Rhinolophus ferrumequinum: one gene and its partners. The protein of the gene in region 2 purifies or fractionates together with the protein of the main gene of each other region. This does not show direct contact. Links are inferred from orthologs where the notes say so. Each region holds a gene or a part of one and is shown on either strand. Other genes may lie near its edges.

What was found. Proteins that work in one complex are often made in the same cells at the same time.
Region 1: the proteins of TNRC6C (region 2) and AGO1 purify together in Homo sapiens (affinity purification with mass spectrometry; 5 studies listed by BioGRID and IntAct, with this or other methods). This does not show direct contact. The link is inferred for Rhinolophus ferrumequinum from reciprocal best matches to the Homo sapiens genes TNRC6C and AGO1.
Region 3: the proteins of TNRC6C (region 2) and CNOT10 purify together in Homo sapiens (co-immunoprecipitation; 3 studies listed by BioGRID and IntAct, with this or other methods). This does not show direct contact. The link is inferred for Rhinolophus ferrumequinum from reciprocal best matches to the Homo sapiens genes TNRC6C and CNOT10.

Annotation. Positions count from the first base shown.
Region 1 is NC_046292.1:24,902,492-24,912,467, forward strand, and holds the start of AGO1 (protein argonaute-1), read left to right. Parts: upstream 1-5,177; 5' UTR 5,178-5,393; coding exon 5,394-5,418; intron 5,419-9,976.
Region 2 is NC_046304.1:52,114,373-52,124,321, forward strand, and holds the start of TNRC6C (trinucleotide repeat-containing gene 6C protein), read left to right. Parts: upstream 1-5,466; 5' UTR 5,467-5,604; coding exon 5,605-7,984; intron 7,985-9,949. UniProt on the Homo sapiens protein: Plays a role in RNA-mediated gene silencing by micro-RNAs (miRNAs). Required for miRNA-dependent translational repression of complementary mRNAs by argonaute family proteins.
Region 3 is NC_046300.1:18,100,278-18,109,967, reverse strand, and holds the start of CNOT10 (CCR4-NOT transcription complex subunit 10), read left to right. Parts: upstream 1-4,891; 5' UTR 4,892-5,159; coding exon 5,160-5,181; intron 5,182-9,690. UniProt on the Homo sapiens protein: Component of the CCR4-NOT complex which is one of the major cellular mRNA deadenylases and is linked to various cellular processes including bulk mRNA degradation, miRNA-mediated repression, translational repression during translational initiation and general transcription regulation.

The DNA.
Region 1 (9,976 bases), on a different chromosome or scaffold from region 2:
GCACCCATGCTTGCCTCTGTCATTATACTCAAAATTGCCCTGAAATGATCATCTGTACTGTCCAATAGCCACTAGCCACGTGTATTAAGCACTTGAAATGTGGCCAGTCTGAATTGAGATGTGCTATGAGTGTAAAATACACACTAGATTTCAAAGACTGTATTAAAAAAAAATGTAAAATAATAAATTTTTATATTGATGACATGTTGAAATGGTAATAGTTTGGTGTTAAGTAAAACATTATTAAAATTAATTTCATCTGTTTCCTTTTTACTTTTTATAATGTGGCTGCTAGAAAATCTAAAATTACATGTGTATCTCACATGATATTTCTATTGGGTAACACTGATTTATGTTTATCTCTTCTTAGGGGTAGAGACTGGCTCTGCCATCTTTGTTTTTGTATTTCTGGAAAAAAATACGTAGGGGTGGGTGGGAATATCTGATACTAGTCCTCAGAACTTGGAGCTGGAGTAGCAAGCGTCCAACAGACATTATATTATTTGGTTTTTCCATCTAGGAACTTGGCCTCTCTCTCTACTTAATTCAGCCTTTTTTGTATGTCATCTTATTGATTCTTACAGATTTTTCTCACACATCACAAACATCTTATGAAGTTTTTTTCTAAGTATTTTGAATTGGATATTTTATCTTTACAGTTTATAATTAGTTAATACTGGTACCATCAGAATGCTACAGATTATTGCTTATTTTCTTGAATCTTTCCACTTACTTAGTATTACTAATTTTAATAAGACTGTATACTTTCTTATTATATAATTGTATCAACTACAATAGAGATATTTTCTTACATACTTAAATTTACTTCTCTCTCTCTCTCTCTCTCTCTCTCTCTCTCTCTCTCTCTGGCTCTCTCTTCTGGCTAGAATGTCCAAACTGGTATTAAAATAATATTAGTAGTGAAGAGTGACCTCATTTATTACTGTTTTTAAAGGGAGAGTACTGCTTCTTCATTAGCTAAGAATAGATATTCTATCATCATGGTAAGTATGAGTGATTTTAATTATTTTAAGACTGGATATTAAAATGTATCAAATATTTTTATCTATGATAATTGTTTATTTTTGATTAATCACATATATTGTATATTATATTAAGATTTTTTAATTTTTGAACCATCCCTGAATTACCCTTGTGTTGATATGCTATTCTTTTAATAATAATGTCATATAGTGTTGTGGTTAAGAATGTTGATACTGAAGCCATCGAGCCTGGATTCAAGTTCTGCCTCTGCTAGTTGCAAGCTGTGTTATCTTGATCTTGGGCAAGTTACTTATCCTCTCTGTGTCTCTATCGCTTTTTTTTTTTTAATGTCTGATCTTATTTATTTGTTAGTCTTAGGAAATCTCATTTTTGACTGAATTGCAGGTTCTGCTAACTCTTTTGGGCCCCAGGTGATGTGGCACAGTCATATCTATGTCTTCATTTATTATTATTATCATAATTTTAATTAATCTGTTATAGAATTCTATATGCTAACATTTGACTTGTGATGTTTGCATCCACATTCCTGAGAATTCTTTTTATAATATCATCATCTGATAAGAGATGAGGATCTTTATCTGCTATTCTGAACAAATTAGGAAAATTCCCCTTTTCCCCATGTTCTAAAACCATTCAAATAACGTGGAACAGGATTAACTCTTTCAAGAATGTTTGGAAATATTAAACAGTGAAACTCCTGAGCCTGGTGTTCTTTGGTTATTTTTGATAACTTTCTCAGCGTCTTCCTTAATTGTTGCTCAACTCTTGCTTTTGAGTCCTTGCTTTGCATTTTTTAAAGTAAAAATATATATGTAATTTAAATTAAATCTCTGTGATGAGTTTTAAAATTTAGGAGTGATAAATATGTTCAATGTCTCAATTGTGGTGATGTTTCATAAGTTGATACATATGGTAGAATTAATTACATTGTACACTATATAAGTGCAGTTTATTGTGTCAATTATACTTCAATTTAAAAAAGTGATTTAAAAATGTCTACCAATTTCACAAGTCTTTACAAAGTACTAGCTGACATTTATTAATTCCATTGTTCATGATTTCTGATTTTTAAAATTATCTTCTGAAATACATTAAAAGATGTATTTTGTTATAGATAGAAAGAGGTGGTGCATGCAAGAGCTGTTGGTGATTCATTTCCTGATAGTAGGGTATACATTTTGTTTTATGTCTATTATACCACCTTGATTTTATTGTTCCCAGGCTGTTTTTTAAATATTAAGGAAAGGAAAATATAGATTGAGATGCAGATTTTTCTTCAGGCCATACTTGTTGTTTTGGGACCAGGAAACTCTGGGTATAGAGAAGGTATAAAAGTGGAAGGACCTGGGCTCTGGCCCACTCAGCAGATGCCCTAGGGTGTGAGTTAGCTATGGACTGAGATGCAAGAATGGAACTGGAAACAGAGGCAACCAATAGCTTTCTGGAAGAAAAGCTATCAACAGTTACTGGAAGAATTTCTCAGCATAAAACAGCAAAATGCTATCTGGATTTCCCTTATATTCTACCACTTTGCCTAGCCAAGAGTAAAATCCCTGATGATGGAGACACTGCAGAGAGACCCGGAGAGCCCAGGGCCCGGCTTGACTCTGCTAGCCACTTTGGACCTGGGTCAGAATAGTGACCAACGGCTTTCCACAAAGTTGAGTGTGAGGCTTGGTATTTAGAACAGGGGATTCAAACTCTCATGGAATGCTGAGCTTCCAGCTTAGTTATACCAAGGTAAAGGTCTTGGCTATTTCTGGGGATGTTTTGATGCCATCTATTTGATTCAAATCAATCCAGATTTACTGATCATTCTAGGCACAGCTTGTGCCAGCCACTAAAGGGTGACAGAAATGCATCTGATGTGGTCCCTGTTGTTAAAGAACTTAGACTATAGTGCAAGAAGCAGCCAATAATTACTGTGTTTCCCCGAAAATACGACCTAGCCGGACAATCAGCTCTAATGCGTCTTTTGGAGCAAAAATTAATGTAAGACCCTGTCTTATTTTACTAGAATATAAGAACGGGTATAATATAATATAATATAATATAATATAATATAATATAATATAAATATACCAGGTATAATATAATATAATACCGGTCTTATATTAATTGTTGCTCCAAAAGATGCATTAGAGCTGATTGTCTGGCTAGGTCTTATTTTCAGGGAAACATGGTACAGTATGATAGCAGCTGACACTTTGCCTGCATTCTTCTATGCACTGTTCTGAGGTCTTTATATGTATTAACAACAGCCCAATGAGGTGGAAGGAAATGAGGGAGAAGGAAACTGAGACACAGATAAGTTATTTTCCTAGTGTTACACAGCTTGTGAATGGTAGCACCTGGATTGAAACCCAAACAGTTTGGCTCAAGAGTCTTTGTTTTTAACTTTATCCTGTACAGCAGTGGTTCTCAAAGTGTGGTACCCAGATTGGCAGCTTCAGCCTCACCTGGAAACTTATTAGAAATGCACGTTCTTGGGTCCCACCCAAGACCTACTGAATCACAAGCTCTGGAACTGGGGCTCTGCAATCAGTGTTGTAACAGGTTCTCCAGGTTATTCTAATGCCTGCTGTTTGAGAACCTCTGTTAGAGAGAAGCAAGGCATACTATGATGAGTGTCAGAAATTAATCTCTCTATGGGTAGGGACTGGGTGTGTGAGATCTGTCTCTTAAGTTCCTTGCCCTCAGCGCAGCATCTAGTGTAAAGTAGGCATAAAAAAATACATATGGATGAATACATATGAATAAATATAAGGGAAAGTGATGTTTGAACTGGGTTTCTTACCAAGTATCAACTGCAGCAGACCGAATGGGAGGACTCTTCCCAGAACCTGTGAGACTAGCGAGGAAGTGGTGTGATACTTTTGGCAAGGTGTAATAAGGGTCTGTACTATCACAAGGAACCATCAGAATGGCAGGGGATCATGTAAGAGTAGTTTAGGAGGTAAACATGTCAGGACTTGGTGAAAAGCTGAATAGGGGGAAGAAGCAAGGGAGAGAAACTTCATTTCTGGGATGAAGGTGCCATTTGCAGAGACAAGAAGCATAGGACAAGCATGTTTGTGGGGTAAAGATAAAGAGTTTGGTTTTGGACTCTAAATTTGAAGTACTGGTAGGATATCCAGGTGGAGCTGTCCAGCAGACACTTGGAAATATGAGTCTGAGACTTGGCTGGAAATAGAGATTTGGAAGGATAGTTGAGCCGTAAGAATGGGTGAGACCTTCAAGGGGAAAGTGGAGAGTGGAATGAGAAGAGAGCTGGGTTTGAAACCATGGGGAACACTGTTATTTAGGGGGGCAAAAGCAAAAGGGGGCTCTTGATTAAGACCGAAAAGGAGGTAAGCAATAATAGGAAATCTCAGAAAATACTGAAGCCAAGTAGAGGGCTCAAAAAAGAAGGAGAGACACAGTGTCAGATGTTGCAGAGAAATAAGAATTGAAAATTATCCTTTGAATTTTGACACAAAAAGTCTTTTAAGTGAAGTGGCGAGGACACGCAGATTGAGTTCAGGCGTGAGCTGTAGATGAGAAAGTGGAGACCGGTGCTTGCCAGGTCCCACAGACAGAACTCTGTAGCTGCAGTCAAGTTGAAACTGTGACATCGTCCAGGGTAGTAAGCAGGTCTCTTTCATTATCTGTGGTCTCTGTGCCCAGCACTCGGCCTGGAAATGAGGATGGCATCAGTGAATTCAGTGACTAGGGACGGAAAAAGGCTTCAGGGAGGCAGTAGCTTTGCAGCCAAGGGGTGAAGGATGAAAGAAATGGGGAGGCGAGGTGGTAGGCAGAGCCGCGGGGTGATGGGTTGCACGGAGAATGTGAAGCGGGCCTTGGAATGAAGTAGGGTTCCTGTAATGTGCGCGTGGCTCTGTGCAAAGCGGGGAGGCTCTGTGTAGGCTGGGAGGGAGCTGTTTGGGTGAAAGACAGGGCCGGAGGCTGCTGCGGGGGGTGTCCCCCCGCCCTGCGCCACTTACGCCACTGCGCGGTTCCGCTGCGCCTCTACCCAAGCCCTCCGGCCGGGCTGCATGGCGACGGGTGACCGCCAGGGGCCGCTGCCTCGGTCCCGGGTGCCCCCGCCCCTCTCCATTGGCCTTTGTTGCCGTCGGAGCGCCCCGCTTGACTCGTTCCCGTCCGCCCCCTGGGCCTGGCGGTCGCGCCTGCGCACTGGCAGCTGGCCGGGCGCTCGCAGGGGGAGCTGCTGCAGGCTCCGCGGCGGCGGCGGCAACGGAGGCTGTGGGGGTGGCGGCGCGAGCGGCCGGGCTTCGGGGGGGAGCCGAGCCCGGCCCGGGAGCCCGAGCAGCTAGAGTGCAGGGTACCTAGGCCCCTCACGCTGGACTCCACAGTCTCCCGGCCGCCTGACCTCCGCACGGGTATATGGGATGGAAGCGGGACCCTCGGGAGCAGGTAAGGGCCCCCGGGAAGGGGGGACGGTGCGTGCTCCAAAGGACCAAGGGACTCCCGCGTGCAGAGCAGTAAATCCGAGTCAGGGAAGGTTTCTTGAGTGAGGAGAGGGGCTCTTGTGGGATGGGGGGCCCAGTTTGAAGGGGGCTGTGTGCAGTTCCGGGGGAAACCTGGTGAAGGGAGCCCTGAGATCGGGGCCGTTTATCAAAGGAGGCACTATGCACTCCTGGAGGTGGGAAGTAATCTGGGAGAAGGGCCTGAACGCACGTAAGGACTCCCGGAGGTCCCTGGAGGCCTAGGGAGAGGCCCGGCAGGTGGCACGGGGCGGGCTCCAGGTGTCCAGGAGAGGAGGGGGTCGACACAGATGGGCCCAGAACTGCCGCATGCCGGGGGCGGGGGCTCAGCCGGTCTGGGCTGGGTTAGTGTCTCTTGGGAGAAGGCGCCAGAGCTGGACTGTGAGCTCCGCCCCAGCCGGGCCTGACGCGGGGGCGAGGGTCAGGGGGCGGTGGGTGGGGATCCAGCCCTGGGATTCCACCCGGTGAGTCCGGGGAGCTGGAGCAGAGGCGCTGGAGCATGCGCGGAGGTGGCAGCTGGAAGGGGCAGCCCTATGTGGTGGGGGCGTGGCTGCCCGAATCTCCCCAACTCCCCACCCCGCGCGATTTGGCTTGGAAATAAGAGCGCGCCGATGGGGGTGCATTCTCTCTAAGGTTATGCTGGCAGAGCGCAAATGGAAATGGTCCCCTTCCTCATCTTGGGGCTTCTTAACCCTTGGCAAAACCCTCAGTCACAATTTGCCAAGAATGAGTTGAGGGAAACTGCCAAAGTGCCTTATTCTGCCACTGGGACAAGGAAAGACAAGGCAGTGTTCTTGGGGCGGGGCCTCCCTAAAGATAGGCCTTAGGAAAGGTATTGATTACTGAGGGACCAAGGCCAGGCAGGCCCTGGTTTACCTGGAAGAGGTTGTCTGCCTGGTCTAATAGCGAGTAGAGATGGGATCATTTAATCAAAGGATAATGACCTTTCCATTGAAATATCTCCTGAGGTGACAGCCTAATCTCATTCTATACCTTAACACTTTTATTGCTCCTATCTCCCACTGGATATCTTTTTCCTCTCTCTAATCCCCAGAAACTGTCAGGGCCATGTCATTTGACCTAAGATTGCCAAGCTAGCCCTTTGTCATCTATCAGTTGTTTGGGGGAGGAGGGGTTTATAACCTTCACCCTGGTGAGTTCAGGTGATGATAGCCTTACTTTCTCCTTGTTCATGGGCAATCAGGAGAAAAGGAGATAAAAACAGGAGAAACTGAGGCTGGACTGCCCCACGAAGACTGGAGTCTCCAGAATGGGCTGTGGGATGGTGGCACCACCTGTGTCCTGTCCTTTGATGGGAGGAGCATTCTGGACCTGGGACTCCTTTAGGTCGTATCTCACCAGCTCCTACCATTTGATCTGGGGGTGGGAGTAGGGTTTCCTTTGGGGACTTGAATTTCATTTCTGGTGGAAGAATCTTTGTCTTTTATACCAGATCTAATCCCCTCAAGGCACTAGCTCCTACCAACTCATTCAAGTCATCCATTCAGAGATCTGTAAGTACTTTCCTCCAAGAGAAAACAACCTTGGAAAGGCTGTATAGGTCTTAAGGTGGAGTGCAGGGAGCAACAGACTTCAGAAAACTACTTCCTCCTTCCCTCAGGCCCCTTTCTCCATTCCAGGAACTCTCCTGGTTTTCTAGGCTGGAGACTTTGCAACAACCTGTGGACTAGAGTAGGAGTAGGTCACAGGTCCAGATAGATTGCTGGGAGTTGACACCCATGCCAGACTGCTAATGATTTTATTCTGATGAATTCCTAATGGGCTCTGGAGTGATGAAAAAACTGTTTCTTCCAATAAATAAGCTTCTAGGGAAGGGACTAGAGCTTGGTATCTGGAGTTGGCTGTAGCCTCGTGGGGCAGGCTTTGCTTCATCAAATGATGTAACTGAAATTCATTTTGGAAGCTATCAATAGAGGTACCCACATAAGTGCGTCCTTCTTAGGCCCAGACTAGTCTCTTGGAAGTTGGAGGACACAATACACAAAACTAAGGTATTGTTGCTGGCTTCACTGGGCCTAAGTCCAAGTGTGCCTTCTGTGCTCAGGTGTGTTCCAAACACATACTAGACTGGTAGCTCCCTGAAGGTACAGGTAGTGTCTAATTTATCTGTGAAACCAGCACATGTGTAGGTCCTGACACAAAGTACATGTTTATTAACTGAACTGAGTCCAGTCCAGAGTGACATAAATGGTTAAGCACGTATGTGAATATTTAATAATTTGCGTATACTTATGTGTGGACAAATTCTTTTTGGAGAGATTGGCCTCTTAGTCTTTGCTTACTGACAGCTAACCTAGCCTTGAGTTTGTCTTTTGAATAGGCTGTCTGGCTCCTTGGGAGTTTTGTGGGCCTCAGAAACTGCAGGGAAAGAATCCCTGAGCCAGGCATTTCAGCTCTGTTACTTTTCCTTCTCAGGGCTGGTTGGGATGGGGGAGGGGGAGTGTCCTTTTCACGGCCCCTCCCTCCTTGCTTTTGTCTGTAAGGAAGGGCCCCGCCCCTTTCCCCCAAGGCCCAAGCTTTGTCCTCTGTGCTGGGGCCCTCATCTGCATCACAAAGTGGCCGTCTGTCCCTGTCTGGGTCTGAAGGGAAGTGTCTCCCTTTCTCAGACTAAAAGCTGGGGGCTGGGGCACTTTCTACAGCTGTAAGGCTTGCGGAGGGATGGAATTGGAGAGAGCTTCCCCCTTCCTCCTGCCTTCCCTAGTTTTGGGATGAGGAAGCATGGGGGCTCTCTTGTTTTCCCAAAGCCTCCTTGGAGTGGAGGATTCCTAAGGCTGTCTGGTCTGTAGTCCTGTTTCTGGGAAGAGAAGGCTTTGAGGCTACAGTGTCTGTCCCTTCCCCCATCAGTACAACCCAGCCCCCAGCACTAGGGGATGTCTTTCTCCCAAGGCTCCAAGCGATTATTCAGCCTAGGAGGCTAAGGAGGTGAATGGAATGTAAGAACTTGGGGAGGGGAAGGGTGTCTTTCACCAGCTATATCACCAGGGTGCATTTTTGTTCTGTGCTGGGTTTGTAATAGTTTCTGAGCAGTTTGCAGGTGTTCGTTTGTTTTTATTTTCTTTGTGGTTTGTGTATGGATCTGTTTGTTCATTCCTTTAATATTTGTATATTGAACACACCTCCTGTGTGCCAGACACTGAAGATTCAATAATGACCAAGGCAGATAGTTCCTGTTTTTGAAGAACACACAGTCTAGGGTGGTGAGGGGTATATGTATAAAGGTAAACTGTCTAGGTCTAAGTGAGTGTTTGGATGTGTATGACAGGAACGTATCACACTGTGTGTGCGTCTATGGCTTGTATGTAATTTCTGCCCAGCTCTTTTTGGGGTAGGTGGCCAGGTGACAGTAGTTAAGCCTTCGCTTCCCTGTATAGCTGAGTCCTGAAGGCCTTTTCCCCCCAGGCTGGGCCTGTATTTCCCAGTGTGCAGAGTGGGGCTGGGCTTGACAGGTGCAGGAGACAGCAGCTTAGCTCTGGGAAGCGTGCCCCTCCCGTGAATGGTTCTGACCTCTTCCTGACCCCCCAGTTGAGGATATGCCCCATCCCCCCAGCCTGGCAGACTGAAAGCAGAGCTCTGGTGATGGGAGAGGTTCGGGGCTGATTCATGTATCTCTCCTCCCACCTGAGCTGGTCCTCTACTGGCAAGGACAATGGTAGCTCTGGACAAAGGCTTCTCTTAGGCAGTTTCCCTTTTCCCTCCCTTTCCCTTCAAGCTGGAAAATAAAACTAGGGGCAGCAATCTGGATGGTGGCAAGAAAGGAGAACATAGTGGGAGCTGGCATTGCTCTAGCCCTTTCCCACGGGTCCCCTCTGTCTTGAAACTGATCCCTTTTGCTGCTGTCTGGGCCCTCTGTGTGGAAGGAGCTGTGTGCCTTGGAGAGAATCTTGTATTCTCCTTCCCAGAGTCAGTATCTCGCCCTTCACTAACATTCTAATGGCTGTCTCTTCTTCCCAAGTCCTCTAGTCTAGCCTCCTCTTGCTTCAGTCTCCTAGTGTATTCAGCCTGTCTTCATTCCCTAGTGTTTCCTTCTTTTGAACTTTTCCTTCATTGTCTCCCCCGTTTCAGCCTTGCTTCTTGCCCAAGCTCCCAGCTCTAACCTATCTTGCCCCAGCCCCTAACTCCAGCCTTTCCTCGTTCCCTGATTCCCAGTTCAACCATTTTCCTGCTGTGACCTCCAGTTTTGGTTTCTTCGCCAGCTCCCTGTTTCATTCAGCCTCTGTCCTTAGTTTCCAAACTTGATCCTTTTAGCCTTTTCTCATTTTCTCTCTCTCTAATCTCAGCCATTCAGTTACTTTAATCCTCCCTCCCCCGCCCCAGCTGGCCTTTGGATCCTCCTCGTGCCTACATTGCAGAGGAGCGTTAAGATGATGCTGTTTTGTGTTCAGGGTGGTGATGAATGAAGTGAGCATCTGGCTGGCAGAGAATGGGGCATTCTTGGTCTGCTAGATACCTGGTGGAGGTATGTGTCT
Region 2 (9,949 bases):
GAAGTTGATTATTGTTGCATGTGTTAGCAGCTGTTTGGGTTTCCTCTTCTACGTTGCCTGTTCCTGTCCTCTTCCTGTTTTTGTTGGGTTGTTGGTCTTTTTCTTACAGATTTGTAGTTCTTTATTCTGATCATCATCCTTTATCTGTTCTACCTCCTTTCTGTGTGTGGCTTGTTATCTAGCTTTCTTTTTTGTCATACGCATGTTTTTAATATCATAGTCAAATCTATCAACTTTTTTTTATGTCTTCTGTAACAAGATAACAGTGTCCAAGGTCATAGAGACAGTCTCCCATGTTTCCTTACTAAGCTTAAAGAAGCTTTTTGCTTTTCATAATTAGGTCTTTAATCCACACAGAATTTATTTTTATGTATGATATGAGGTAGGATCTACTTTTATTTCTGCATGTGGCTAGCCAGTTGTCCCGCAGCGGTTATTAGCTAGTTCTTCCTTTCTCCACTAGTTCGCAATGCTGTCCTTACCCATCAAGGGTAGAGAACATTTTTCAAACGGGAGATATAACTGAATATGAGTCCATCGAATGGGGGCTGAGCAATAGTCAAAAAACATTTCACACGAATCTGTGAAGGAGACCGTTAACCAAGAGCAGAGACTTCCACAGTCTGACCTTTGTGGAATGGAAAAGATACTGTTACGTGTTAAGAGGTGCTCCAGCCCGGGAAGGAAGGAATGCGCGGGTAAGCTGGATGGTTAACTCCTGCCTCCTGGGAGTGGGGTGCAGTGAATCAAGAGGTGAGTGGCCTGCCTCATGGTAAACCTGTCCCTGGAGAGAGCAAGACAGGTGGGAGAGTGAACTGGTAGATTGCTGGGGACGGAATAGTCTGTTTTTTAAGTTGGTCCTATTTTCTGTGTTAAATGATGAGTGGCTCATTTCTTTTTTCTTTTTCTGTTTTTTGTTGGTTTGTTTTTTAGTTTCAAGTATTCAAAGCAACGTAATAGTTAGACATTTAAACCCCTCATAAAGTGATAACCCACCCCAAGCTGCTACCCCCCTGACATCTTATATAGCTGTTACAATACCATCAAGTATCTCCCTATGTTGTACTCCACATCCCATGACTATATATACCTATATATTTAGTTATAGTTGACGTTCCATATTATTCTACTTCAGCTCTTCAGGTGTATAGCGCATTGGTCAGGCATCTACAGTCTATGACGTGATCCCCCTGATAAGTCCAGCGCCCATCTGGCACCTTACATGATCTTTACAACATTGTTGATTATACTCCCCATATTGTATTAACTACGAATTTGTATTTCTTAACACCTTCACCTTTCCCACCCTGCCCCCAACCCCCCTCCCGTCTATCACCCTGATAGATCTAGTACCTATGTGGCACCGTACCTAGTTATTACAATATTGTTGACTATATTCCTTATGCTATACCCTACATCGCCATGACGACTGTATAACACCCAATTTGTTCTTCTTAATCCCTTCCCCTTTCACCCATCCTTAACCCCCTCCCATCTTAAAGAAGTCCCTCTAAGATTCCTTGTAATACTGGTTTGGTGGTGATGAACTCCTTCAGCTTTTTCTTGTTTGGGAAGCTCCTTATCTGTGCTTCAATTCTAAATGACAGTCTTGCTGGGTAGAGCAATCTTGGTTGTAGGTCCTTGCTTTTCATCACTTTGAATATTTCCCGCCACTCCCTTCTTGCCTGCAAAATTTCTGTTGAAAAATCAGCTGCCAGTCTTATAGAGGATCCCTTGTAGGTAACTAAATGCTTTTCTCTTGCTGCTTTTAAGATTCTCTCTTTGTATTTAACCTTTGGCATTTTAATTATGATGTGTCTTGGTGTGGGCCTCTTTGGGTTCATCTTGTTTGGGATTCTCTGTGCTTCCTGGGCTTGTATGTCCATTTCCTTCACCAGGTTAGGGAAGTTTTCTGTCATTATTTCTTAAAATAGGTTTACAATTCCTTGATCTCTCTCTTCTCCTTCTGGTACCCCTATCATGCGAATGTTGGTATGCTTGATATTGTCCTAGAGACCCCTTAAACTCTCCTGAATTTTTTGGATTCCTTTTTTTTTTTTCTGTTCTAGTTGGGTGTTTTCTGCCACCTTCTACGTCGCTGGTTGGATTCTCTACTTCATCTAATCTACTGTTGATTCCCTGTGACATATTCTTCATTTCCGTTATTGTAGCCTTTATTTCTGACTGGTTCTTTTTTATGGTTTCCATCTCCATTTTTATGCCTCCTATCTCTCTGTTGAAGTTCTCATTGAGATCATTGAGCATTCTTATAACCAGTGTTTGGAACTCAGCATCTGATAGATTGCTTATCTCTGTTTCGCTTAGCTCTTTTTCTGGAGCTTTGTTCTGTTCTTTTATTTGGGACGTGTTTCTTTGTCTTCCCATTTTGGCTGCCCCCGTGTTTGTTTCTATGTATTAAGTAGGGCTGTTATATCTTCTGGTCTTAGTAGAGTAGCCTTCTGTAGTAGGTGTGCCATGGGGTTCAGTGGTGCAGTCTTTCTGATCACCTGAGCCACGTGCTCCAGGTGAATCCCTTGTGTGGGTTGTGTGCGCCCTCCTTTTGTAGTTGAGCCTTGGTTGATAATTGCACATCAGTGGGAGGGACTGACCCTCGGGCTCACTGGTTGTGAGGACTGGCCTTGACTCCAGTGGAAGGGTTATGCAGGGGCTGACCCTACAGAGCAGGAGCTGCCTTAGCAGGGCTCTGGTGCCTGTCCAATTTGCTCCTTGGGTGTGTCGTACTTGGAGGCGGCTGGGTGATGCTCCAGCTCGTTTTGAAGCTGGCCACTGGGGGCGCCAGCCCAAGGACCACCTCGGAGGGGATCGGCTGTAGGTCAAGTTCAGCCACAGCCCATGCCCCACCTGGGGCCACCCAGCGGGAGCCAGAAAGAAATCCTTATCGTCTGCCGCCCGTGCTCTACTTGGAAGCGCCTTGAGAGGCCAAGCCACAAACCAAGGCCGGCTGCCCCTAGTGCCGGCTTAGGGCTGCTCAGCCAGAGGTACAGGACACGCTCAAGCCAGATGCTACTTGTTTAGGTTCCACGAAAGTCTGCAGGTTGAGCCAAGGCTCAGGAGGTCTGCATGAAAAAGCCACTGAAAGCAGCCTGGGTGTGCCAGAATGTTGGGTGGGGTGGGGCGGGGCAGGACGGGTTGGGGTCTCAAATTGCCAGGGAGACTCAGGTGGGGAAGTAGGAGGGCTCGACAAAGAAACACTGGCCTCCACCAGCTCCCCTATCCCGGAGAAAGCCGCCTCTCCAGCCCCCGTCCCAAGCCAGACAACTCAGTTCCCCAACATTTGTTCCTGCTGCCTCTGCCCCAGCGCTGGAGCTCAGAGCAAGTGATTCCACTGGTGGGTAAGTCCGTGTGGTCCCTTTAACAGGAGTGCCTGGGAGTGCAGTCACACTGTCTCACTCAGTCACAATCTCCGCTGGTTTTCACAGCCAGAAATGATGGGGACTTCTCTCCCCGGCACTGGGACCCTGGGCTGGGGGGATGCCCACAGCCGAAATATCCCTCCCGATCTTTAATGGTCACACGTGGGTGAGGGACCAGCCCGTTCCACGTCTCTGCCCTTCCTACCAGTGTGGAGGTGGCTTCTTCTGCACGTCTCTAATTGAAAGGCTTCTGTTGTTTGATTTTAGGCGATTCTCAATAATGGTCGCTTTGTAGATTAGTTGTAATTTTGATGTGGTTGTGAGAAGGTGAGCTCAGCGTTTACCTACTGCGCCATCTTGGTTGTCGTCTCATTTATTTCTTTAATGTAGTTATTATATAAGCTGGTTTTTATAGTATGTACAAAACCAACAGGGAAAATTGTCATAAACCAGAGTTGCAGAGCCAACCCCTAATATTTGGTGATAAAAAACGTAGTTGTTTTATAGTACTTTTGATACTTAAAGTTTTCTGTTGCCTATCTCTGTTCCCCTTTGCAGAGTTCACCTGGAATACCTACCTACTTTAGAATTACCTAGGGCATAATTCTAAACTCATTACATTCCTTTTAAATCAGGCAACAAAAATTGTTTATTTGTGTTTGTTTTTAAGGTTGAAGTTAGCTTTAATATGTTCTTTCCAGTGATAGTGGTAATTCTTTACATACTTCTTTTTTTTTTTTAACTCCATCAAACTTTAAAAGAGATTTCTTTTGGGAAACTCAGTTTTACTCTCCATGAGTAAGCTTTTTCTTGTTAAAATAAATTTGAAGAGAACATAATGATGAAAAGGTTCTAAAAGAGAAGAAAACTTTTGTTGCAATTATCTGTATATCGTACTATGTAAAGAAACTGTCAAGGATTTCCAAATTGCGTGAGTTTGTTGTATGTACAGGTAACTTTATTTTTTTTTATATTTTTCATTTTTAAGGACACATACTTCAAATAAAGTCTGCTGGAAAATTCATTGGAATATAAGTTTGATTGCAGTGTTAGAAATACCCAAATAATTCGGAAATCGTAGGAGATAAAATGCAGGTACCAAATACTGAATTCTTTAAAAGGATAAGAGTGAAATGATATAAATACTTTAGGAAGATACATAAAATTATTCTGAGAATCTCCAAAGAAGAGACTGTAATTTAAGGAAATAGAAAGCAATTGTAGAAGGAATCCTTAGAGATCAAAGAAGGTACCAGATGTGGGGCTGAGAATATTCTTTGTTGATGCACAGGAAACAGTGATAAAGCATAATTGCTGGTAACAACAGGTGAAGTAGTATAAATGTCATTAAAGCTTTCTAACCTTTACTACCCTTGATAACATACGATAGCATTTTCTAATACCTTCTCTCTCTCCCTCCCCTGCCTCTCTCCCCCCATTCCTTCTTTCCCTCTCTCCCTGCCCATCTGTCCCCCACCCCCAAAACATTGGTCCTGTTATATGATTCTGCAAGGCATTTACAATCCCTGTCTACTAAATGAGCCGTGTAGCCTCTACACAATACTGTAACTCTTGAAGAGAACTACACATTGTATTGAGGCATCCATGTGAACTTCTTGTTGTTGCCAGTGTTTCCCAAAGATTTGGGGTATTTATAGGTGTTGTACAGTTGCATAAATTTCCGAAGTGCTATACATCGCGGTTACGGTTACGCAGCTGTCTGTGCTACAGATGCTTTCATAGCCTCTCATGTGCTAATGAGCATTGTGAATCTTCTCCGGAGGAGTGACAGTTTGGTGTGGTGGTAACAATTACTGTGATTTGAGAAGCGTTATCTCTGTTTTAAATGGGAGCTGTGAAGGGGACAAATAACTTTTCTTCAAGTCGTGTTTTAGCATTTGTCATTCAGAATTGAAACCTTGAAATAATGAGCTTCCCCCAAAGACTAACTAACAGTTGATTCATTGACAGATGGGAGGAAAATCTAATTTTGAATGTTTCGTCTTTTTCAGATCTCAGTCACAGTGGATTGGCAGATCATTATGAAAGTTCCCACTGGGGACAGCCGCCCACTTACAGAAGTGAAGCCAACTGCAGCTGGGATAAAGTGATAATAGATAGGACTGATAAGGAGGCGTGGCCTTCCATCACAGGAGCAGAGCCCGAATCTGCCTCAGAATGTACTACAGACACTGACTCTGCCTCCAACTGTGGCTCAGAGAACAGTAGCATGGCTACAGGGAGTGCCCAGGGCAGCTTCACTGGACATACCAAGAAGACAAATGGCAATAATGGCACCAACGGCGCACTCGTCCAAAGCCCTTCTAATCACAGTGCCCTTGGAGCAGGGGGAGCCAACGGCAACGGAAACGCAGCCAGAGTGTGGGGCGTAGCCACAGGCGCCAGCTCCGGCCTGGCTCACTGCTCTCTCAGCAGTGGGGATGGGAAAATGGACAACATGATTGGAGATGGGAGAAGTCAGAACTGCTGGGGCGCTTCCAACTCCAGTGCTGGCATTAATCTTAACCTTAATCCCAATGCCAACCCCGCTGCCTGGCCTGTACTGGGACATGAAGGAACTGTGGCGACAGGCAACCCTTCCAGTATTTGCAGTCCAGTCAGTGCCATAGGTCAAAACATGGGCACCCCGAATGGGACCCCAGCAGGCACTTTAGGTGCTTGGGGAAACTTGCTGCCGCCAGAGAGCACAGAACCACAAACGTCCACTTCTCAGAATGTGTCTTTCAGCGTACAACCTCAGAACCTTAACACTGACGGACCAAATAACACTAACCCCATGGACTCTTCCCCAAACCCTATCAATGCAATGCAGGCGAACGGACTGCCAAACTGGGGCATGGCCGTCGGCATGGGGGCCATCATCCCGCCCCCTCTGCAAGGCCTCGCTGGTGCTAACGGATCATCAGTTTCTCAAGTCAGTGGGGGTGGCGGTGAGGGACTCGGCAGTTCTGTGTGGGGACTGTCCCCAGGTAACCCTGCCGCAGGAAATAGCAATTCGGGGTTCAATCAGGGGAATGGAGACACTGTGAGCTCAGCATTAAGTGCTAAACAAAACGGATCCAGCAGTGCTGTGCAAAAGGAAGGAAATGGGACGAACGCCTGGGACTCGGGCCCTCCTGCTGGTCCTGGAATCCTCGCTTGGGGAAGGGGCAGTGGCAGCAATGGCATGGGTAATATCCATTCGGGAGCGTGGGGCCACCCCAGCCGAAGCACCTCGAACGGTGTGAATGGGGAGTGGGGCAAGCCCCCGAACCAGCATTCCAGTAGTGACATCAGTGGGAAAGGATCAACAGGGTGGGACAGTCCTAGTGTCAGCAGCCAGAACCCTGCCATGCAGCCTGGCAGTGAACACATGAACTCTTGGGCCAAAGCTGCGTCTTCTGCAACCACCGCCAGTGAAGGCAGCAGCGACGGTTCTGGCAGTTACAATGAAGGAAGCACGGGGAGGGAGGGGGCGGAAGGCCGAAGGCGGGACAAGGGGATTACAGACCAAGGGCACATCCAGCTGCCAAGGAACGATCTCGACCCAAGAGTTCTGTCTAATACTGGATGGGGACAGACTCCAGTAAAGCAAAACACTGCCTGGGAATTTGAAGAATCCCCGAGGTCGGAGAGGAAAAATGACAATGGGACAGAGGCCTGGGGTTGTGCAGCTACTCAGCCTTCAAACTCAGGGGGGAAGAACGATGGGTCCATCATGAACAGTACAAATACCTCTTCAGTATCTGGGTGGGTCAGCTCCCCGCCTGCTGCTGCGCCAGCAAACACAGGTTGGGGAGACAGCAGCAACAAAGCGCCAAACGGCCCAGGGGTTTGGGGGGACTCGATAAGCTCTACTGCTGTCACTAATGCTGCTGCTGCCAAGAGTGGCCACGCTTGGAGTGGGACCGTAAGTCAGGAGGACAAGTCGCCCACCTGGGGTGAGCCTCAGAAGCCCAAATCTCAAAACTGGGGAGATGGACAGAAATCAAATCCCGCCTGGAGTGCTGGAGGGGGGGATTGGGCAGACTCGTCTTCTGTCCTTGGACACTTGGGGGATGGGAAAAAAAATGCCTCTGGATGGGATGCTGACAGCAATCGATCAGGGTCTGGTTGGAATGACGCTACAAGGTCTGGGACCAGTGGCTGGGGCAGCGGCACAAATGCAAAGGTGAATCCAGGGACAAACTGGGGAGAGTCTTTAAAACCTGGCCCCCAACAGAACTGGGCGAGCAAACCCCAGGACAACAGCGTGAGTAACTGGGGAGGAGCCGCTTCCGTTAAACAGACAGGAGCAGGGTGGATCGGGGGGCCGGTCCCCATCAAACAGAAGGACAGCAGCGAGGCCACGGGCTGGGAAGAACCTTCTCCGCCATCCATTCGCCGCAAAATGGAAATTGATGATGGTACCTCAGCTTGGGGTGACCCAAGCAACTACAACAACAAAACTGTAAACATGTGGGACAGGAACAACCCGGGCATCCAGGGCAGCACGGCGGTCACCACCGCTGCCGCCACCACCACGAGTAACAACACGAGCGTGGTCGAGACGCCGCCGCCACCGCTCCAGGCCAGCGCCCAGCTGAACCGGTCGCCGCTGCTCGGTCCAGGTACGGGATGTGCTTTCTATTATTTAAAAGTTAAAAAGCATTTATAGTCATCAGACTCGTGTTTTCACAGCAGATGGCATTAAGTGCCCTTCACCGTGTAGAATTAAAGCAGGATTCCCTGAAAGCGCTCTATCCAAGAAAAAAATATCTTAAGCACTTTTCAATGGAAAGGAGAAGGAAGAAGCAATAAATGCATCCTCTTCAGGAAAGACGGGGGACCGTTGTGTTAGTCTGTGTTCACTTAGAGTCTCCATTTCTTTATGAGATAAACCAGTGGTGCTCAGCCCCGGCTCTCGTGGGAATTACCTGGGAGCATGGGGCAGGGAGTACGTACTGACCTCAGAGGAGGTTTCTCGTATCACCCGTCTGGAGGGAAGCCCGTCCGCTGGTGGGTCTTAAAGCTCCACGGGTGTTTCTGATGTGTGGTTAACACTGAAATAAAACCATTCTTGTAAAACGTGAATGGCGTTATACAAGTCATGTTTTTATTTCAGTTGAAAGGAAAATCTTAAAATTAGACTAAAACTTGTGTTTTGAGTTCCTGCTTTGTGCAAGGCGCTCTTCTAGACGCATGGAGAAAAGGTGGGAAAGAAGATGCTAAGATGATCCAGAGAAGAGCCTGCCCATGGGGAGTGGGAATTATGACAGAGGAAATAACCATGCAGCAGGGACCTGTACGCACAGATAAAATTCAGCTGGGCTTTGTAACTGCAGAATTAGCAGGCCCCACACTCCTCGCTAGAATGTTGGTCCGTGTAGAAAGGATCACTCCGCTCCAGCCATGGGACCTGCATCAGTGAGTGAACCCTGGGCTCACCAAATCGCCGAGCTCCCAGGTGTAGGAGGGACCAGAAGGAGAGTACAGTCCAACTCAGGGCGTTATATTCAGGGCCTTCCCTCTCCCATACACTCGCCAAGCAACCGGAAGGCCCACGTACAGGGCCGGGAGGCCCCCACCGCACTTCTTTCCCAGTCACTGTGGCTACCATGTCCTTAGACAGAGCCTCAGTCAGCCTCTCTCCAGGTGCTAGAATTGCTCGGATAGTTTGGGGACAGTGCAAAGCAAGGCTGAATTTCTCTTCTCATGCTGCAGAACTTCAGACAGCTGCATCTAGTTTTCCTGTCCCCCGTGCCCTTCTCCAGGAACTGTTCCTAGCTCCTGCAGCTGGTGCTCGTAGTCACGGCTTTAAATCCTTTTTCTGGTCCTCTGGAAAAGCGAAGGCTCGTGAGGGTTCTTGTGCCCAGGACTGACGTCAGGACGATAAGTTTGGTTTCATCAGTGCAGAGTTACTCGCGACTAAAACCTCCCTCACTCCTGAAATCATACTCCTAGTAATGAACGCGTTCCAAGTTTCATTTAGCCTTTTTGAGCCACATCACACCCCTTTTCTTAAATTGAGCTGAAAACCGGAAGTCGCTCTTTTTGTTAAGGCCGCTCTGAAGCCCCTTCTTGCTCAGGACGCACCTGGGTAGTTGGTTGCTTGGTCCCAAGTGTAGAACTTTGTTTCTGGGAAACTTTTGGATTCTAGTCCCCCAGCCCGTTGAGATCTTTTTGAACCCGGATTCTGTGATCGACATGTTAGTTATTCCTGCCAGTTTTACGCCATCCCTAAATGTTATAAACATGCCCTAAAGACCAGGCTAGGAGTCCTTTCTCCGTGGTCACTCACTCACTCATCTGATCTATGGGACTAACTGGGGGTCCGGAACCCACAAGGGAGTCTGGAAAGTGTACTTCTGTTTTCTCACTTCGGGCTTCTGTGATACAGGAAGTTTCACGGAAGGCAGAAAAATGGATGCTGAGTGCCTGTTGACTATAATTTGCAGATTTGGGTTAAAAAAAAAATTGTTCTGACCATCAGACATCTTTGGAACAGATCCAAGCAGAGAACCCGTGCTGCACCCCCAGCGCCCCCAGCACGCCATCGGAAGCCCAGCTGAGGCCGCTCACTGCCGTCCTCCGCT
Region 3 (9,690 bases), on a different chromosome or scaffold from region 2:
TCCAGTCCTCCATCCCTCTTACTCTTGTCTTCATGGTCTTGAGGGCGTTGGAGTTCCAGCCATCACATTTACATTCCAGACAGTAGAATGGAGGATTGGGTGAAAAGAGAGATGAGAAAGTATGACTTATACCCTGGGGGGGAAAATAGGCAGCAGTTGCTACATGTGAGCAGCCAGATGTCAGGTTTAACAAACAAGGCATTCAAAGCAGCCATTTGTTTTGTGTCTCAGCCTGTAGACAGTGATGCTATTGGCTAGAAATGTCTGGGAGCACTCACCATTTTCCTCAGTTTTGAGGCTGGCCCAGCCCAGTGGTGGTTATGATGTCAACAGGCCTCTCAGCAGCAACCATCAGGAAATTTTGAAATAAAAAGGTTTATGACTCATTAGTCCTGGAGAGTACTCAGCACACCTAGGGGCCACATACAAGGTCACAGTAGAGACAGAGAGCATGGACTAGGGGTTCTGCCTTTATGGGGGTTGGGGATGAGGTGCCTAGAGTTTTGTGGGTTCATTCTTTATTGGTGAGTTTAAAACATAAGAATGGGAATTAAAGTGTGAAGAGGAAAACAGGGTCACTCCAATACTAGCAAACTGAATTCAGCAACATATAAAAATTATGCACCATGGCCAAATGAGATTTACCCTAGGAATACAAGGTAGGTTTAACATCTGAAAGGCAATTCTTGTAATAGTATAATATATCATATCAATAAAATGAGAAACAAGAACCACATAATCATTTCAACAGACACAGAAAAGCATTTGGCAAAATCCAACACCTTGTCATGAAAAATACACTCAACAAACTAGGAATAGAAGGGAATTCCTTAACCTAATAAAGCACCTACAAAAAATCCCAAAACTAACAAAATATTTAAATGTAAAAGACTGGACGCTTTCCCCCTAAGATTTTTATTAGTTTCAGGTGCACAAAACAATGTAATAGAGATTTCACCCCTTCCCCAATCTATTGCCCCACTGAAGGATGTCCCCTCTTTCTATTTCTATTCAAAAATGTACTGAAAGTCCTAGCAGGGAAATTAGGCAAGGAAAAAAAAGGCATCCAGATTGGAAAGGAAGAAGTAAAACTCTCTCTATTTGCAGATGATATGATCTAGTATATAGAAAGTCCTAAGGAATTAACTGAAAAACTGTAAGACCTAGTAAACAGGTTCATCAAGGTTGCAGGATACAAGATCAGTATACAAAAATCACTTACGTTACTATCTACTTATAATGAACAATCTGAACTGACATCTGCTGACACATGCTACAACATAGATGAATCTTGAAAATATGCTAAGTGGAAAAAGCCAGTCACAAAAGGTACACATTGTATGGTAATTCTCTTTATATGAGATATACAGAATATTTAAATTCTCAAATGGTCAATTTGAGACAGAAAGCAGATTATTGATTGCCAGGGGCTGGGGGTTAGGAAGAATGGTAAATGACTAGTAATGGATACAGGGTTTCTTTTGAGTGTGATGAAAATGTTCTGGAATTAGTGGTGATGGTTGCACAACTTTGTGAATCTACTAAAACACCCCAAACTATACTCTTCAAATAGGTGAATTGTATGGTATGTGTGAATTATATGTCAATGTAGCTATTTTTTTTAAAAGGATGAGCAAGGATGAGCAAAGAAGCTGGTGAACATGAGAATATGTCTAAAACACATATACAACAACAACAGCTAAATTAGGGGATGAAAAGCATCATAGAATTAATATAATTATTGGGGTTGTGTGCTCACACACAGAATAATTTTAATTTCAAAAAGATGAAGAACTGCAGTTGATGAAAACATATTGAATATATAAAAAGCCATAAGTTCAGAGTAATTTTTTGAAAAGGAAATAGTTCTGGAGATTGCTGGAACATCAAACTTATTCCTCTGAAAACTGATAATTATAGGGAGAGGACTAAACATTCATCCTGCCTTTCTGTAAACTAAATTTCAGTGTAACCAAATATCCCTGTGGATAAGGAAAAGTTTTTCAGTACAGAAGAATTCTAGGTAGGGCTGGGAGTAGGGTAAACTGAGTGGGTGCCTAGAGAATGAAATTTAAGAAGGCACTCACATAGCCCTGATTCTAGTTAACAAATGCATGAATATCCAAATGAGAAAATTATTTCAACCATTAGTGAAATAACTGGTTCAGACAGTGGCCATTAATGCTTCTAAAACCACTAGGAGAAAGGCTGATAGAAAACGGATAAAAATCAGGCTGTCACTATCTGAATCCAAGGATCAATGTTAACGTCACAAAAAGTGAGACAACCAACCTTCTGTGCCTTCTAATGGGGTTGCAGAACGTACACCTAGGAAGAAAGCACCACCTAGGAAGAATTCTCAGGAAAAAATTTTTTGACTCATAACATAATCAAGCCTTTAGAAGTAACCTGTAGTCCACAGGAAATATTGAGCATAAAGGATGCAGTCACAAGGAAGCGATATGCCAGGGATCTTATACTGGATTCTAATTTCATCAGTAAGTCAATGTAGGGAATAATAAAAGGGGAGCGAACTGTTCTAGATTAAGAGAAACACAAGTAAAATGATCTTGCTTGATCCTGATTCTAAACAGAAATTACCCCCCAAAAAAAATTTACACTGTAGAGGTAATTTCAGTATGGTTTGGTGATTGAATGATATTAAAGAAATATTTTGAATTTTGTTAGATGTGATAATGGTATTGTAAGAAAATACTTGGATATTGCTTTTTGAGTTGCATGTCGAAGTGTTTAGAGGTGAATGATATGCTATCTGGGATTTGCTTTAAAACACTCCAGCAACAAAACATAATAAGGAGGACGGGGTAGATAAAACATGTATATGGTTAAATGATGCTAGGGAATGAACACATGGGATTTATTATACTTTCCACTTTTGAGTATGTTTGGAAGGTTTCACAATAATATTTTCCCAAAAAAATATGGGTACACCTTTATTCCAGAGAAACTCTTTTAACTGTTCACAGGTTTAAGAGTGAGCTCAGCAGCTGTGTTTGTAAAATGAAAATTGGAATTGACGTCAATGTTTGTCAATAAAAGAAGAGATAAATAGAGGTAATGTGACGAGGTTGTCTGTCAGCAGCCTTTCCCAGTTCCTCCCGTTTAATAAAATTCTGATTATATTTATTCCTCGCAGGAATGTTTTGTGGATGCATCATGATAAAGCCAAAACATGCATCGGAATCTCTTTTTGCCAGTAATTGCCTCGTGGTGGGCAGGCAACCAATTTCACGGATGAGATCTTAGGGGACATTTTGGTGAGAGGCGTCTAGGAAAGATTCACCATACTTCTTTGATTCTAAGACACAATATTTCTGTCATCTCTAAAATTGGCAGGCTTCTCACAACTGATAGCATCTCACAATCACTGTCTGACAGATGGCTGTTGTGTGTTATGTTTGTCATTCCCTGTGTATGCACGAGTTTGATCTGAAAACCTACCATTTGTGACATCTTCTGGTAAGATCTAGAAAGTGCCAGAATTAAAACCTGCAGAATGGGCCTTCTTGAGACAACACTATGTGAGGAGATGCTGTAGTGCCAGTGGTACTGAAGTCTCAAATGATATAGGCATTAATTATCTCACTGATGAGAAATCTGCAGGTAAGCTCTTCCATTGCTGAATCAGTGACTCAGCAATGCCAGGATGCAGTTCGACATTCCTGGGATTCTTTCTGTTTTCCCCAGTGGGCCCAAGATAATTGCCACAGCTCTGAGCATCATGCTCTCGCCTCACCATTTTCAAAGCAGGAAGGGGGAGAAGGGGGCAAAGATGACGGCTCTGTGACAATGTGGACAGGCCTTGAGAGTATTATGCTAAGTGAAATACTCATATGTCAGACAGAGAAAGACAAATACTGTATGATCTCTTATATGTGGAATCTTAGGGGGAAAAAAGAGCTTATAGATACAGGGAACATATTGGTGGTTGCCAGAAGCAGGAGAGGGGGTGAGGAGCACAATGGGAGCAGGTGGTCAAAAGATACAAACTTCCAGTTATAAAATAAATAAGTCATGGGGATGTAATACAGAGCATGGTGACTAGTAGTACTCTACTGCATATTTGAAAGTTGCTGAGAAAGTAAATCATAAAAGTTCTCATCACAAGAAAAAAAATATTTGGAACTATGTATGGTGATAGACATTGTGGTGATCATTTTGCAATAAATACAAGTATTGAATCATTATCTTGTACACCTGAAACTGATATAATGTTGTATGTCAATTGTACCTCAATAAAAAAAATTAGACAAATTAAAAGAAAAAAAGAATAGCCTAAGAAGACATGACGCATTCAATATAATGTGGTATCCCATTCCTGGAACAGAAAAGGAACATTGTTCAGAAAATGGAGAAGTCCCCCCGTAATAGTAATAGTACGGATCAAGGTGGTTTTTTGGATGTGACGGATGTACCATAGTAATTTAGTAACTAAGATGTTCACAACAGGGCAGACTAGATGGGGAGTATACAGGAATTATGTATCATCTTTGCAACTCTGTAAATCTAAAACTATTCTAAAATAAAACGTTTTGTTTTTAAGCGGGAACCGCAACAGTGCTTTCTCACAGAGTTGTGAGAAATCAATGAGAGACTAAAGCCAAGTGCAAGGTTCAATGCTTAGCACATAAATGTCAGGTGTGGTTATTGTGATTTTATGTAAAATAAGGAACAATTGCTTGGACACTTAAATATTTTAGTCCGGATAAGCAAAAGGCAGTGGCACGCAGGCCCCTCCCACCCTACCCAGCACATACCCAGAGGCGCAAGCGCGCGCGCACGCGCACATGCGCAGTGGGTGGGGTCGGGAGGACGCCAGCGTGGGGCGGAGCCAGCCACAGTTCCCACGCCGGCCGCGGCCCCCGGAAGTAGTGTGTACCGTGACTCGGGGTGGAGACTGTAGAAGGCGGGATGCAGTGGCGAAACCTTGGTGGAGACGGTGCTGCAGTTGCTAGACGACGTGAACCAGCCTTCGTCACTTCCTCAGCCCTCGGTCTGCCCACTCCGCTGGCCGGAACCCAGGGGCCTGGAGCAGGGGTGGGCAGAGTCGTCCTCAGAGGTCCAGGATAGCAGCCAGCCGGGCAGCTGGAGTCGAGGCCACGCCACCTGCGGGGAAGAACTCAAGCCGAGGCGGGAAGATGGCTGCAGACAAGCCTTCAGGTAAGGCGCCCGCGCCCCTCTCGCTGAGACGGCGGGACACGCGAGGGTGGGCCAGCCCTGCGCGCGGAGGCGGCGGGGCCCGGAGTGAGGACTAGGGGTAGAGGACTCGAGGGCGACTTTAATTTGGGCGTGCATTTCTCTCCCCTCTCTGGTCCCAAGGCCGTCGCTGAGGTCTGATAGCTTTTTTACCCAAGTGCAGCTACTGACCGCTTTTGCCCAGTTTCCCAGACTATCGCTGGCTGAAAAAGCTTGCATTTATTTGGCCGCTTCACAGACTTTTTCGATTTCCTAATGGGGATGGCAAAGCAAGGAAAGTTCACCCTGGAGCAAGCACACAGCTGCTCAGGCTAAGACTCACCTGGGCTGTTTTGGCCTCATCAACCTGCCTCTGGTCAGGTACATGCTATGTATAAGCTTCGTGTAAACCACTTATTTAAATAGACATGAAGTCATAGTGTGTGGCTCTGGTCTGTGCTCTCTAACATCCTGCGTTTAGAACCTGTTTTCCCTAGTTCCTCATGACTAGCTAATTTGATCTCATTGATTTTGTTTATGGATTACTGCCCTATTCCTAGAATCTTTTTCATTAAGGAATATAAAATTATTTCCAGCCTACCTCTGGGACGGTGTGGTGTATGTTTCCTAAAAGAAATTAATGTTCTCTGTGGCATCCACAAAGTTGGAAGTGGTCAACACTTAGACTTTACAGTGAAATTACTAAAAAAAAAAGGAAAAAAAAACTCAGTGTGCTGTAGGTTGTCCTAGGTCCGGATCTTAGTAACTGACAGATAAACTTGAGTTGATATTTTAGTGAGTCCATCCTAATACAAGTACAGATGAATAAAATTGGTAGAGAATCTCTTCAGTAATCAGCTGAAAAGAAAAAAAACAACAGAAAAAAGGTTTAGAAAGTTGAGGCTAATGGAGTGTGTTACAGAAGTTTAGATAGGCCGGTCAGGGAAAGCCTCTGGTGAGGTGACATTTGAGCAAACAGCTGAATGAAATGAGGAGTAAACCATAGGGAATGGGGGGGTAGGGAAAACGCTTCAGGGAATAAGCCTGACCTGCCCAAGGCTGGACCAGGGGAACCAACATCTTCATTCTTAATGAAGACAGTGTCTCTCTTCACCAGATTTGCCATTCCATACCTACTTGCCTATACCATTGCACTTGCCTGGAATGACCTTTTTAGGCCTAAAGCCCATCTAATTTTCAAGTCCTTCCTCAGTCATAAAGCGCTCTTGTACTTGTTCATTCATTCATTCGCAAAGATTGAGTGCCATGTGTTGCCTTAGATGTTGAAGAAATGAATATGACATACTCCCTGCCCTTGAGGACCTACTGTTCAGTCTGCCAGAGACACATCTAATGACACTCCCATTCAGTACAAGCTATGTAATATATCTAGGAGAAGAATAAAGTCCACAGTGACTTGTGGGCTGTTTTTTTTTTTTTAAAGATTTTATTGGGGAAGGGGAACAGGACTTTACTGGGGAACAGTGTGTACTTCCAGGCCTTTTTTCCAAGTCAAGTTGTCGTCCTTTCAATCTTAGTTGTGGAGGGTGCTGTTCAGCTTCAAGTTGTTGTCCTTTCGATCTTAGTTGTGGAGGGCGCAGCTCAGCTCCAGGTCCAGTTGCCGTTGCTAGTTGCAGGGGGCTCAGCCCACCATCCCTTGAGGGAATCGAGGAATCGAACTGGCAACCTTGTGGTTGAGAGGACGCGCTCCAATCAACTGAGCCATCTGGGAGGCAGCTCAGCTCAAGGTGCCGTGTTCAGTCCTAGTAGTAGGGGGCAGAGCCCACCATCCCTTGCGGGACTCGAGGAATTCAACTGGCAACCTTGTGGTTGAGAACCCACGGGCCTATGTGGGAATCGAACCGGCAGCCTTCGGAGTTAGGAGCGGGGAGCTCTAACCGCCTGAGCCACCGGGCCGGCCTGCGGGCTGTTTCTTTGGTTGGTTTAAGTTTATAGGCCATATTTTAGGAAACTTCCTATCTTGATAATAAGGTTGAATTCTGTGTTAAGTGGGTGAGAGTTTAGTGTGGCTCTCTTGAATCTCTCTGCTCCTCTCCATCCCCATTTCAATTGTACTAGGTCTGGCCTTTATCTCTCATTGTGATCAATTTCACATTAAGCAGCCTCTTGACTGATGTTTGTCTCTTCCTGTCCAATCCATTCTTCTTACTGCTGCCTTTTCATTTTATTTCTGAAACACTAATTGGATCATACCATTACCCTGCCTATAAACTTTCTAAGACCTTACCATCTTTTGTGCATCAAAACCTTACTCCTTAATGTCATTTGTGAGGCTCTTCACAGTCTATTTCCAGCTGAAGTTTTTATATCAACACATCTAGCTCTTCACGCCACAAATGACTCTCTTGGAAAGCATTGTGTTCCTTTGAGCTTCTGGGTAGTAATGCCCTTTTTCCTCTTCTGTGTCTGAACACTCTCCTCATTCAAAATCTAGTTTATATGCTCCTTCATCTCTGCGCTCCTGGGCCCAGGGCCCTTTTCATAGAGGGTCTTATGTGTTTGTTTTTCATTAGGTAGAAAAAAAAAGCCCATGAAAGAGTTTAGGAAGGTAAGTGACCTGACCACGCTGGCTATGGTAGAGGGTGAGTTGAAGTGAAACAAGACTGGAAACCCAGACACTAGCTAAGACTAGCTAATGTTGTCATATTTATATATTCAGTAAATATTCACCAATGGCCTGCCCTGCCAGGCACTACAAAGTCTCTGTTGTAATGGAGCTTATAATGTGGTATGAAGGACAGGTATACGTGTAAACAAAATAAGAAATAATTATGATTTCAAGTTGTGATAAATACTGTGAAGAAAAGAAAAATGAATAAGAGGATGGAGGATAACTGAGAGCAAGGACTCTATTTTGAATAGATGGGTTAGAGAAGGAAGAGCTCTCTTAGATGGGACATTTGAACAGAGACCCTAAAGAAAGAGCCAGCCATGTGGGGGAAGAATTTTCCAGATAGGAGGAGCAACACATGGGGAATGTTTGAAAACAGCGAGAAAACCCCTTGAGGAAAAGGGATTTTCGTGTTAGTTATGCTCTCTCTCCAGCGCCTAGAACAATGGCTGGCTTATAGGAGGCACTCACTACTTACAGGAGCATAAGTGAGCAACGGAAGCATGGCAAGAGATGAAGTAAGAGATGTGGCAGGGGATAGTTTATGTCAGGCCTTGTAGGCCATGGAAGAAGTTCAAATTCATTCTAACTAATGAGAAGCCACTGGGAGATTTCAGCAAGGGCATGATGTGATCTGATTTAGATTTTAACTGAGCCAGGTGACAATTGATAAGTTAGGAGATGGAGTTTGAAATCAGGCAGTCTAGGTTCATTCTAGCTTGGTATTTGTGAGACCTTGGGAACATTTTAGGAAACTTTTTAAAGTCTCGGCTTTCTGATGTGTAGAAAGAGAAGGATAATATCTACGTCACAGGATTGGTAAAGGGTTAAATGAGATCATCTCAGGCCCTGGTTTTTAAAAACGATGACTAATACTACTTTAGGGTAGTTAGTGGTAGGATGGAGAGGAAAGGCAGACGTGAGCAATGTTTAGGGAGAAAAACTGGTAGAATTTGTCACGGATTAGATGCAGTAGGTGAGCAGAACCTTTCCTTGGAAAAGGTTCTTAGTTGAGCCTCAGTTTCTTCATTTGTAAAATAGGGATCCTAATAGTTTTCTAATTCCCAATAGCCTTCTAATTTATTTACTTCACAGGGTTGTAGCTTGTGAGGATCAACTGAGGTAGGTAGAGTGTGTGTTTCAGCCCTCATCCTCTGGGAAGCAGAACCCAATTAAGGTGCTAACTTTTTATTTGGAAGGAGCAAGCCCAGGGTAGTGAAGGGAAGGAGAGAAGGAAGTAGGCAGAGCGAGCGCAATACATTCCATCCCTGGCTACTGTTTCACCTTGAGCTAGGAAGACACACAGTGGGTCACTTACATGAGGATTTTTCTGGAAGGTTTTCGAAGAGAAACTACACTTCAGAGTAGTGTAGTCCATATAAGAGAGACAGAAGGGATGATTTGTCCAGCGTCCTCCTGTTTTCTGTTTCCAGGTGGTCAAGACTCCAGGTGGGAACTAAGTTCCTTGTGCATCTAGGTTGTGTGGCTTCTCAGTGACTGTCAGCCAGCAGTTTTCACATCCTGAATTGTATATTTCTACCAAGTCTTAAAGCTAGGGGTGTCCCAGGGTGGATGGGGTGCCAACCAGAGACAAAAATTGAAGGGGTAGTGGAAGGTTCACAAGGTTTGTGTCCCTATATACTAATAACATATAAAAGTGGTATGAGACCAATATCATTTTTGACTAAGGGAATACCAGCAATGTTTTAGAATGATTTATTTGACTTTACTTTTGGTAGTTATTTGAAAGGAGAAAGTGGCTAGAGTTAGAAAACAGAATCTTACATTTGAATTTATCTGAGAATTTGCACTATGAAGATGGCAGTAACAGGCTTAATAGGAAAAGGTTGATGCTGTGCATG